Linked DNA regions of Coturnix japonica. The protein of the gene in region 1 purifies or fractionates together with the protein of each later gene. This does not show direct contact. Links are inferred from orthologs where the notes say so. Each region holds a gene or a part of one and is shown in the gene's direction. Other genes may lie near its edges. The genes, in order: USP48 and UBA6.

Region 1 (3,812 bases):
CATGAGGCTGTGAGCAGAGAACTTGCTTTTGGGAATGGTGAGCACTACGTGGGGCTGTTGCAGAAGCTGAAGGGGGCTGTAGAGAAGAACCGAGCTTGAAAATGAGCTTTGAGTAGTAAGGGAGAACAGCTGGAATCAGAGCCAGAGTGCAGGTATGCAGTGCCAGGAGAGGATGAGGGAGGGGAATGTCGCTCCTCATCCCTGGGAAGGAAGTGTCTGTTAGTGACTGGTGAGGTTAAAGGCTGGCCAAGTGCCATGTGCCATTGTGACAATGGTAGGAACCAGAGAGAGGAGCTGTGGGACCACAGCAGGCACAGCACTGAGAGGAGAGCTGAGGCCTGGGCAGGCGAGCAAGGTGAAAGCTAGCTTGTTTTCTGGAGGAGAGAACAGTGCAGGGCTGTGGAAGTAAGGAGAAGGGAGGCAGCCCAGAAGGCAGAGAGCCATCTCAGGGGAGAGGGCTGCCCTGTGGTGCGTGGAGCAGCTCCCATGCCTTGCAGGAGGAAGGGAGCAAAGCCACAGTGCAGCTTCTCAGTTTTATTCTTCCTCCCGTGTCACTCGATGCAGGTAGTTTGTGTTGTGTGCTGGGGCTTTGACTAATGAGCGCTAACAGGGTAGAAATCTCTGCAGGAATGGTGGGCTGGAGAGATTAACTTCCACCCAGCCGTGCTGGGGCAGGGGATGATTAATGCTCTGCGAGCTGCTCCTGCATCCTTTTCAGAGCTGCTGTGATCTAGCAGGGCAGAGCAGCATGGCTGGGCAGCAGGAGCTGATGTCTGCACGCCAGGTGGAGCACGAAGGGATTGAGGCGGTTAACAAGCTGCTGTTTTCCATCCAGAACCCCTGCGAGCAGCGGGGCAGAAGTCAAAGCCACCCGGAGCTGCTGGCCCAGAGCCAGCCTCACTCCTGCTGTGCTCTCACGCTGGGGGCCTTGTGCTCCGTTTAGGCAAATTCCTCTTTTCTTTAGTTCTCCAGCCTGGTCTCTTTCTATGCAGGGCACGCTGGAGTCTCTGCGCAGGCTGTGTGTAGGGCTCTGTGTAATTGGCAGTAAATTAGCAGTGATTGTGCTTTGTGCCTCGGCGTATTGTTAAAAGCTTTGGCTTTCTGTTTCAGGATGCCCAGGAATTTTCCAAGCTGTTCATGTCGCTGCTGGAAGATACTTTATCCAAACAAAAAAATCCAGATGTTCGAAACATTGTTCAGAAGCAGTTCTGTGGGGAGTACGCCTATGTCACAGTGTAAGTGTGTGGTCTTTGGGAAGAAAGATTTACACATTTCAGGAGGATATGAGGGGAAATTTCCCACCTAGCAGCTGGAGCAGGCAGGTGAGCTGCTGAAATGCTGTGCTGGAGGTTTCTGGAGTAGTAAGCAGGTGCTCCATGGTTTCCTGGTAGGTGCTGTTATCCTGCACACGCTGTCCTGCATTGTTGTGACGTAGCACATTAGCTGTTACATAGCTACAGGGGGAGGGTTACTAGTGGCTGAGGAATTACAGCTCATTGCCTGGTGAACTTGTCTCACGCATTTGTGTTTTCTTTATTCTAGTTGCAACCAGTGCGGTAGGGAGTCCAAACTCGTGTCTAAGTTTTATGAGCTGGAGTTAAATATCCAAGGGCACAAGCAGCTGACAGACTGCATAACAGAGTTTCTCAAGGTACGGTCTGATTGGTTTGTGAGCTGTGCTGTCCTTAGTGAGGTGTTCTGTTCCCTTCATCAACCAGCAGCTTCTGAGGTCGGTGTGGGCTGCTGGAGCTGAGCTGCCTCATTGAGATGAATGCAAAAGGAAATGCTTTTCTGTAAACCCGGAAAAACAACCCAGTCATGAGTCATGCACTCCACAGGGGAGGGAGAAGTGGCTCTGGGCAGGATTGCTGCACATGCGCATGTAACAGCTTTCAAAAGCACTTGGAAGGTGTGTTTAGTTGTAATGCCTTCCCAGGAAAGCTGGGAAAGCCCCGGAGGCCTGAGTAAAAGTGTCTGAATGCTTTGTCGTGGATAGCACTGGGAGAATGGCTGCTTTTTGTGTTTTCCATACCGGTGCTCATCTGCATAGCAACGGGAGGCATTTCCTGCTCTAAAACCTGCTCTCAAAAATACTAGCAAGGCCCTGGAATAGCTGAGGGAACAGCTGCAAGTGCTTGTTTGTGACTTGAAAACCTGCTGGAATCCAAAGTTGCAGCCCTGGTAAAGGCTGGAAGCGTGAGTGTAGAGCTAACCTGCCGTGCGAGCTGGTTGCTTTGCTCCTGGAGTGTGTGCTGGGAAAAATGGCAGCTCTGTGTGCACACGAAGGGGCAGCTGCATGCAGACAGCAGTGCTGCTGCCCTGATACTGGTAGCTTCCAACTGTGTGTTTCTCCTCTGAATGAAAAGGTTGGAGTTGGAGTTCTCAGGCCTAATCCTGTCACTGGTGCTACCCAAGCTCAGACTCTCCTTTCCCTGGCTGATGTGTGTTTTGCTGAGCCCAAAGGACTGTGATTTACAGGCTAAAATGTGACTGTACATTAACTTAGTCTGCGTGATCACATAAAAGGGCAGTTCCTTTTTCTCCTTAGCCCTAGTGGTATTAAACCAACTTGGTGCACTTTGGTCAAGTGGAGAGCAAACTTGGCAGCCTTCTAAGCAGCCTGAGGTCTGGCTTGACATTTGAAGTGACAGCACAGTCATAGCAGACTGCTGTAAAGTGCCATTATTAGCCCAGAGGATTGCAGATTTCCAACCTGTAGATTATTTTGGAAGGCAGCTGGGCAGAGACTTCAATGGTTAAAATATTTTCAGTGCTTTCCAGTCTCCGGTGGGTGGCTTGGGTAGAGGGGCTGACTGCAGGGTAACCTGTTCTCAAGATCTTTCTTTCTGCCCCCCCTCCCCTCCCCTGGTCAGGAAGAAAAATTAGAAGGGGACAATCGTTATTTTTGCGAAACTTGTCAGAGTAAGCAGAATGCCACAAGGAAGATCAGGCTGCTAAGTCTTCCATGCACACTCAACTTGCAGCTGATGCGTTTCGTGTTTGACAGGTAAGCCTCTCGCTGGAGTGCGTGCTGTAAAAGCAGGAGTGCCTTGGGTGCTTGGAAGCCCTTTGGAAAGCCATCTGCTCTGCTCTTTCCACATTGGTTTGAGATGTTGAGAATTGAATGCGTGCATGAGCTTCTCTTGGGATGCTCGGTGGGCTTCAAGGAAAGTTACTGTGAGATGTGAACTATTGGTGCTGTCCCCTGAACTGAAGCTTGGCCATTTGCCTTCGCACAGACAAACTGGCCATAAGAAAAAGCTGAACACCTACATTGGCTTCTCCGAGCTGCTTGACATGGAACCTTTTATGGAAAAAAAAAGTGAGTAGCACCCTGTGGTAGTTGGCAGTTACCACTCAACAAACGAGAGGAGGTCTTGTCTGAATCTGCTCATGGTTGTCCAGAGCTGTTGGAAGCCGGAGCAGCAGCTGTCTGTGCCCAGCTGGGCAGGATGCAGGAGCTCTAACTAGCAATGTGAAGAGGGCTTGGGGAGATGGGCAGCTAGGTGTTGCCTTTGCATGCTGCCCTGCAGAAAGCTGAAGTGCTAGGAAAGAAAGCAGGAGCTGAATAACCACTGTTTTCCTTCCAGATGGTGTCTATGTGTATGAACTGAGTGCTGTGCTCATACACCGAGGTGTGAGTGCGTACTCGGGGCACTACATTGCCCACGTGAAAGACCCACAGACAGGAGAGTGGTACAAATTCAATGATGAAGACATTGAGAAGATGGAGGGGAAGAAACTGCAGCTGGGGATTGAGGAAGATCTAGGTAAAACCTTTAAGTTGTGAGTGTATTTTACAATAACTCATT
Region 2 (3,812 bases), on another chromosome or scaffold:
TGGAAGTGAGGACCAGCTGCAGCTGATATGAGAACGACCAGCTCAGGGCTGTATCCTGTCTCTGCAAAGCAGTGGCTTTCTGTTTGTGGTGAGTTGTGAAGATATAAATGCCCACAACCAGTTGCTTGTAAAATATCCAATAGGTGACCACAGAGCAGTTGGAGAAATGGGTCTTGCCACTGTGATGTGAAACATCCATTGCACTTTTGACTGACAAAGCTTTCAGTTTTATTTTGTGCATCTTTTCTCATCATAGTTATGAAGAGAGTAGTATAAATGCTAAGAAGAATGTCAGTCTGTTCAGGAAGCATATTGGTTTTCTCAAGAAGGGGCAATTGTTGTATTAAGTGCCTGTGTTACTTTAATGAATTCTGTTTTTCCAGGAACGGTTGGAGAAGCAGCTAACAAATCCAACGTGCCTAGTTGCAGATTTTATCAAGCCTGAGGTAATAAAGTGTGGAGATCTGAGTGTCAGTGTTGTAAGCTTGAAACTACACGGAATATAATCTGCACCTTTAAGTGTGTAGCAATAAACCTTTCCAATTTCTGCAGTTGTTAAATGTGAGTTTAGAGGATGAAATGGGAGTAGGGCAGATTGTGTGCTCACACCAAACATGCACTATGAGTTAGGTTTCTGGAGAAATTTATTTGTTAATTGTGCAAATTATATTGTAAACTCATAGCCATCTCTCTGTAAATCTGTTTAAAATATCAGTTTTCGATGAATGGATGGCAGTATAAATGCTTAAAAGAAACAGTGTCTTTTCTTTGATGAGCTTTGATTAAAAATAAATACAAAGGATTCAGAGCCAAGGCAGTATAGAAAAAATAACAGCAGTTGAGTGTGGGAACAATTTCTCTTTCCTTTGTAAAAAGATTTACTGGTATTTATAATCCAAGAGGAAGCTGCCTGTATCTGCCTCCAACACAATTTTATTGAAGTATTGGTAATATTTAAAAGAATGGCAGCCATGTACTCATTAAGCTGAGTAACTAAAAAAATGTTCATCTCTGGATTTGTTTGTTTGAGGATGTGAAATCTAACTTGTCTGCTCAGATTTTCTGATGTTGGCCATTAATACTGGGCTCTGGTACTCAGACTTGGCATAATGCAGTGTGTTCTAATGTCTAATTAAAAGAAAATTGTGTGGTTTTTTTTTATGATTTCAGCACTAAATTCTTTTTGGGGACTCTAGTTGGACTTGGGTGAAGTGGGTACTCAACAAGGTGTATTACATTACTCCTGAGCAGTGTTTCATAAGCTGAAATCCATTTTCTAAAACCGCTAGCAGAAGATGTTTCAAGTTGGCATTTAATGCTACTTAACATTTTTAGAGCTGAACAGTTTGTATTAACGGTTGCTTTTATCTCCTTCAGTTTGAGTATGTTCACATCAACAGCTGTTGTTGTCTTTAACAGGCACCTTTGCAAACCCATATTGCCATGCTCGCATTGAACCACTTTGAGGAGAAATTTGGTCGCATGCCGAACATTGGGTAATGCAGCAATCTTATGTTTGCTAAGCCTTGAACCAGGCACATCTCTACTGTGGCTTGATGTGCAGCGGGGTTTCTTGCCTATCTGGTGCTTAGGTGACATAGAAATTAAAAGTTGAAATCTAGGTGCAGAATGTTACCTAATACCTGCCTAATTTTGTAGCTGGGCTTTCTCAGTGTAGCAGTGGCAAGTTCTAGGCCTAGGTTTACAGAAAGTGTAAATGCTTCCTTCTGAAGGCGGTTCTTTGTTCCAGTTTCTTCACATGGAGGGGTTTAATGGGAGAAGTTGTTTGATGATTCCTGAATTATCTGTCAGTTTGTGGATTTAAAAAGACAAAAAAATCAAAGCTTGGGAAGGCTCTGTTTTTTTTCATTAGTAGTAATTTGTTTCAGCTGTCGTTTATGTGGATACCTCTGAGTCCAATGAGATGAAACTACTGTGTAAATCACCTGACTTACACATGCGCTTCTCCACTGAGGCTCTTACTCTTGAGCTGTTCTTAACGTTTAAAGAGTTTCTTTAATACTAAAGCCAGTACAGATTTCCAGAATCTTCCTTCTCTATCCAGCAATTCTTTCTCAATTGGTTTTGTTTTTAGAAGGACTCAAGAATGCTTAAGTGGCCATTATTGTTTTTACCCTTGTGTCTAGATGCCATCAAGATGCTGAGGAAATGCTGAAAATAGCCATGTCTCTAAGTGAAACCCTGGAAAACAAAGTGAGTAGCAAATAGGGATCATGAGTAATTTCTAATATAATTGGTTGCCTGAAGGCCGTGCTTTAGGTTTTGGCTCTTGTTCTGATCTTTGTATGCATCTTTAGATGAATTTGGTGATTTTTCTGAAGGCCACGCAAGAAATGTGACTTGATCAGTTGGAGATATATATATATGTGTGTGTATGTATATGTATGTGTATATATATATACACACATACATGTGTGTATATACATGTGTATATATATATGTATATGTATGTATGTGTGTATATATATATATATACACACATTATTGCTTTGTTCTATTTTTAAGCCTCAGGTAAATGGAGATATAGTGAAGTGGCTGTCCAGAACTGCTCAGGGATTTCTAGCTCCTCTGGCAGCAGCAGTGGGTGGTGTTGCCAGCCAGGAAGTCCTGAAAGCAGTTACAGGAAAATTTTCTCCACTGCAGCAATGGGTAAGGCCTTTTTTCTTCTGTACCTTTATTTTAACAGTGATGTGGTGAAGTGTGGTTGTGTTGTGAGTGCTGAACAACTTGTGTAACGGGGGAAAGAAAAAGGACTTGAGACTGAACTTAGAAACATGTGGTGGTCTTGCGCATAATGTAAAAGAGCAGGCAGTTTTAGCTTAAGCTTTTCTATTTGGGATTGGGACATCATACTCAGTGTGATCTTGCCAAATACCATCTTAAGCACAAGAGCAGTGCTTTCAGGACTCGCAGGGCAAATGTCAGAATAAAGTTAAAAGTGTCACAGTCCCTTTCAGAGGATCACACAATCATCTGATTACAAACGTCACAATCCAAGTGATAAGGCTGTGGCTCAGATTTCAGTGGCTTCCAGGCATTCCTGTCTGTGAAAATTGTGTGGTGAACTATAATGAGCTATAACAAGATTTCTAGACTTGACTGTATGCTTAAATGTTTACGTTTTTTTAAACAAAACATGACTGTTTTTCACAGTTCTTTATTTTTTGTCTTACAGTTATATATAGATATGTTAGACATGGTTACACCTCTAGAAAAGATGGGCTCTGAAGAATTTCTTCCACGGTAATTATCAATACAGTCTGCTTTTTTATGTACTGTTTCTCAAGTAAGCGTAGATGTCTTTTAAAGTTAGTTTAGTAATGCTTTTTGGAGGGAGAGAAGTTTGGGCTTAAAAGTGCACATCCTGTTTGAGAATGGGAGGAATAGGGACTGCAGGGGACTTGGTCGTTTTATTTGCATCAAAGTAGAATTCCATAACGATGATGCCCCCATGGAAAAAAATAACTTGCTACTCTTCTGTTTTTGTTTCCTGCCTCTCTTAAGGGGAGATAGGTATGATGCCTTGAGGGCTTGTATTGGAGAATCTCTGTGCCAGAAGCTGCATGATTTGAATGTTTTCTTGGTGAGTACAACTGATACTTAAGGTTTTTGCAAATACTTTGCAAACACAACTGACATCACCTGTCTTGAAGATAAGAAGTTGGACTTGATGCTGATTGGGTATATTGTTGTCTCATGTTTAGTTTTCTGTCCATCAGGAGCCCATCTCAACAGCAATACTACCTCCACAGGCAGTGCTGTTCCTAAATGTACTCCAATTGAGGAGCCTG

The links.
Region 2: the proteins of USP48 (region 1) and UBA6 fractionate together in Homo sapiens (co-fractionation; 3 studies listed by BioGRID, with this or other methods). This does not show direct contact. The link is inferred for Coturnix japonica from reciprocal best matches to the Homo sapiens genes USP48 and UBA6.

The regions. Positions count from the first base shown.
Region 1 is NC_029536.1:5,719,103-5,722,914, forward strand, and holds part of USP48 (ubiquitin carboxyl-terminal hydrolase 48), read left to right. Parts: intron 1-1,110; coding exon 1,111-1,235; intron 1,236-1,542; coding exon 1,543-1,651; intron 1,652-2,873; coding exon 2,874-3,007; intron 3,008-3,239; coding exon 3,240-3,322; intron 3,323-3,590; coding exon 3,591-3,770; intron 3,771-3,812.
Region 2 is NC_029519.1:46,080,837-46,084,648, reverse strand, and holds part of UBA6 (ubiquitin-like modifier-activating enzyme 6), read left to right. Parts: intron 1-383; coding exon 384-446; intron 447-1,419; coding exon 1,420-1,496; intron 1,497-2,147; coding exon 2,148-2,214; intron 2,215-2,526; coding exon 2,527-2,670; intron 2,671-3,196; coding exon 3,197-3,264; intron 3,265-3,525; coding exon 3,526-3,604; intron 3,605-3,812. UniProt on the Homo sapiens protein: Activates ubiquitin by first adenylating its C-terminal glycine residue with ATP, and thereafter linking this residue to the side chain of a cysteine residue in E1, yielding a ubiquitin-E1 thioester and free AMP.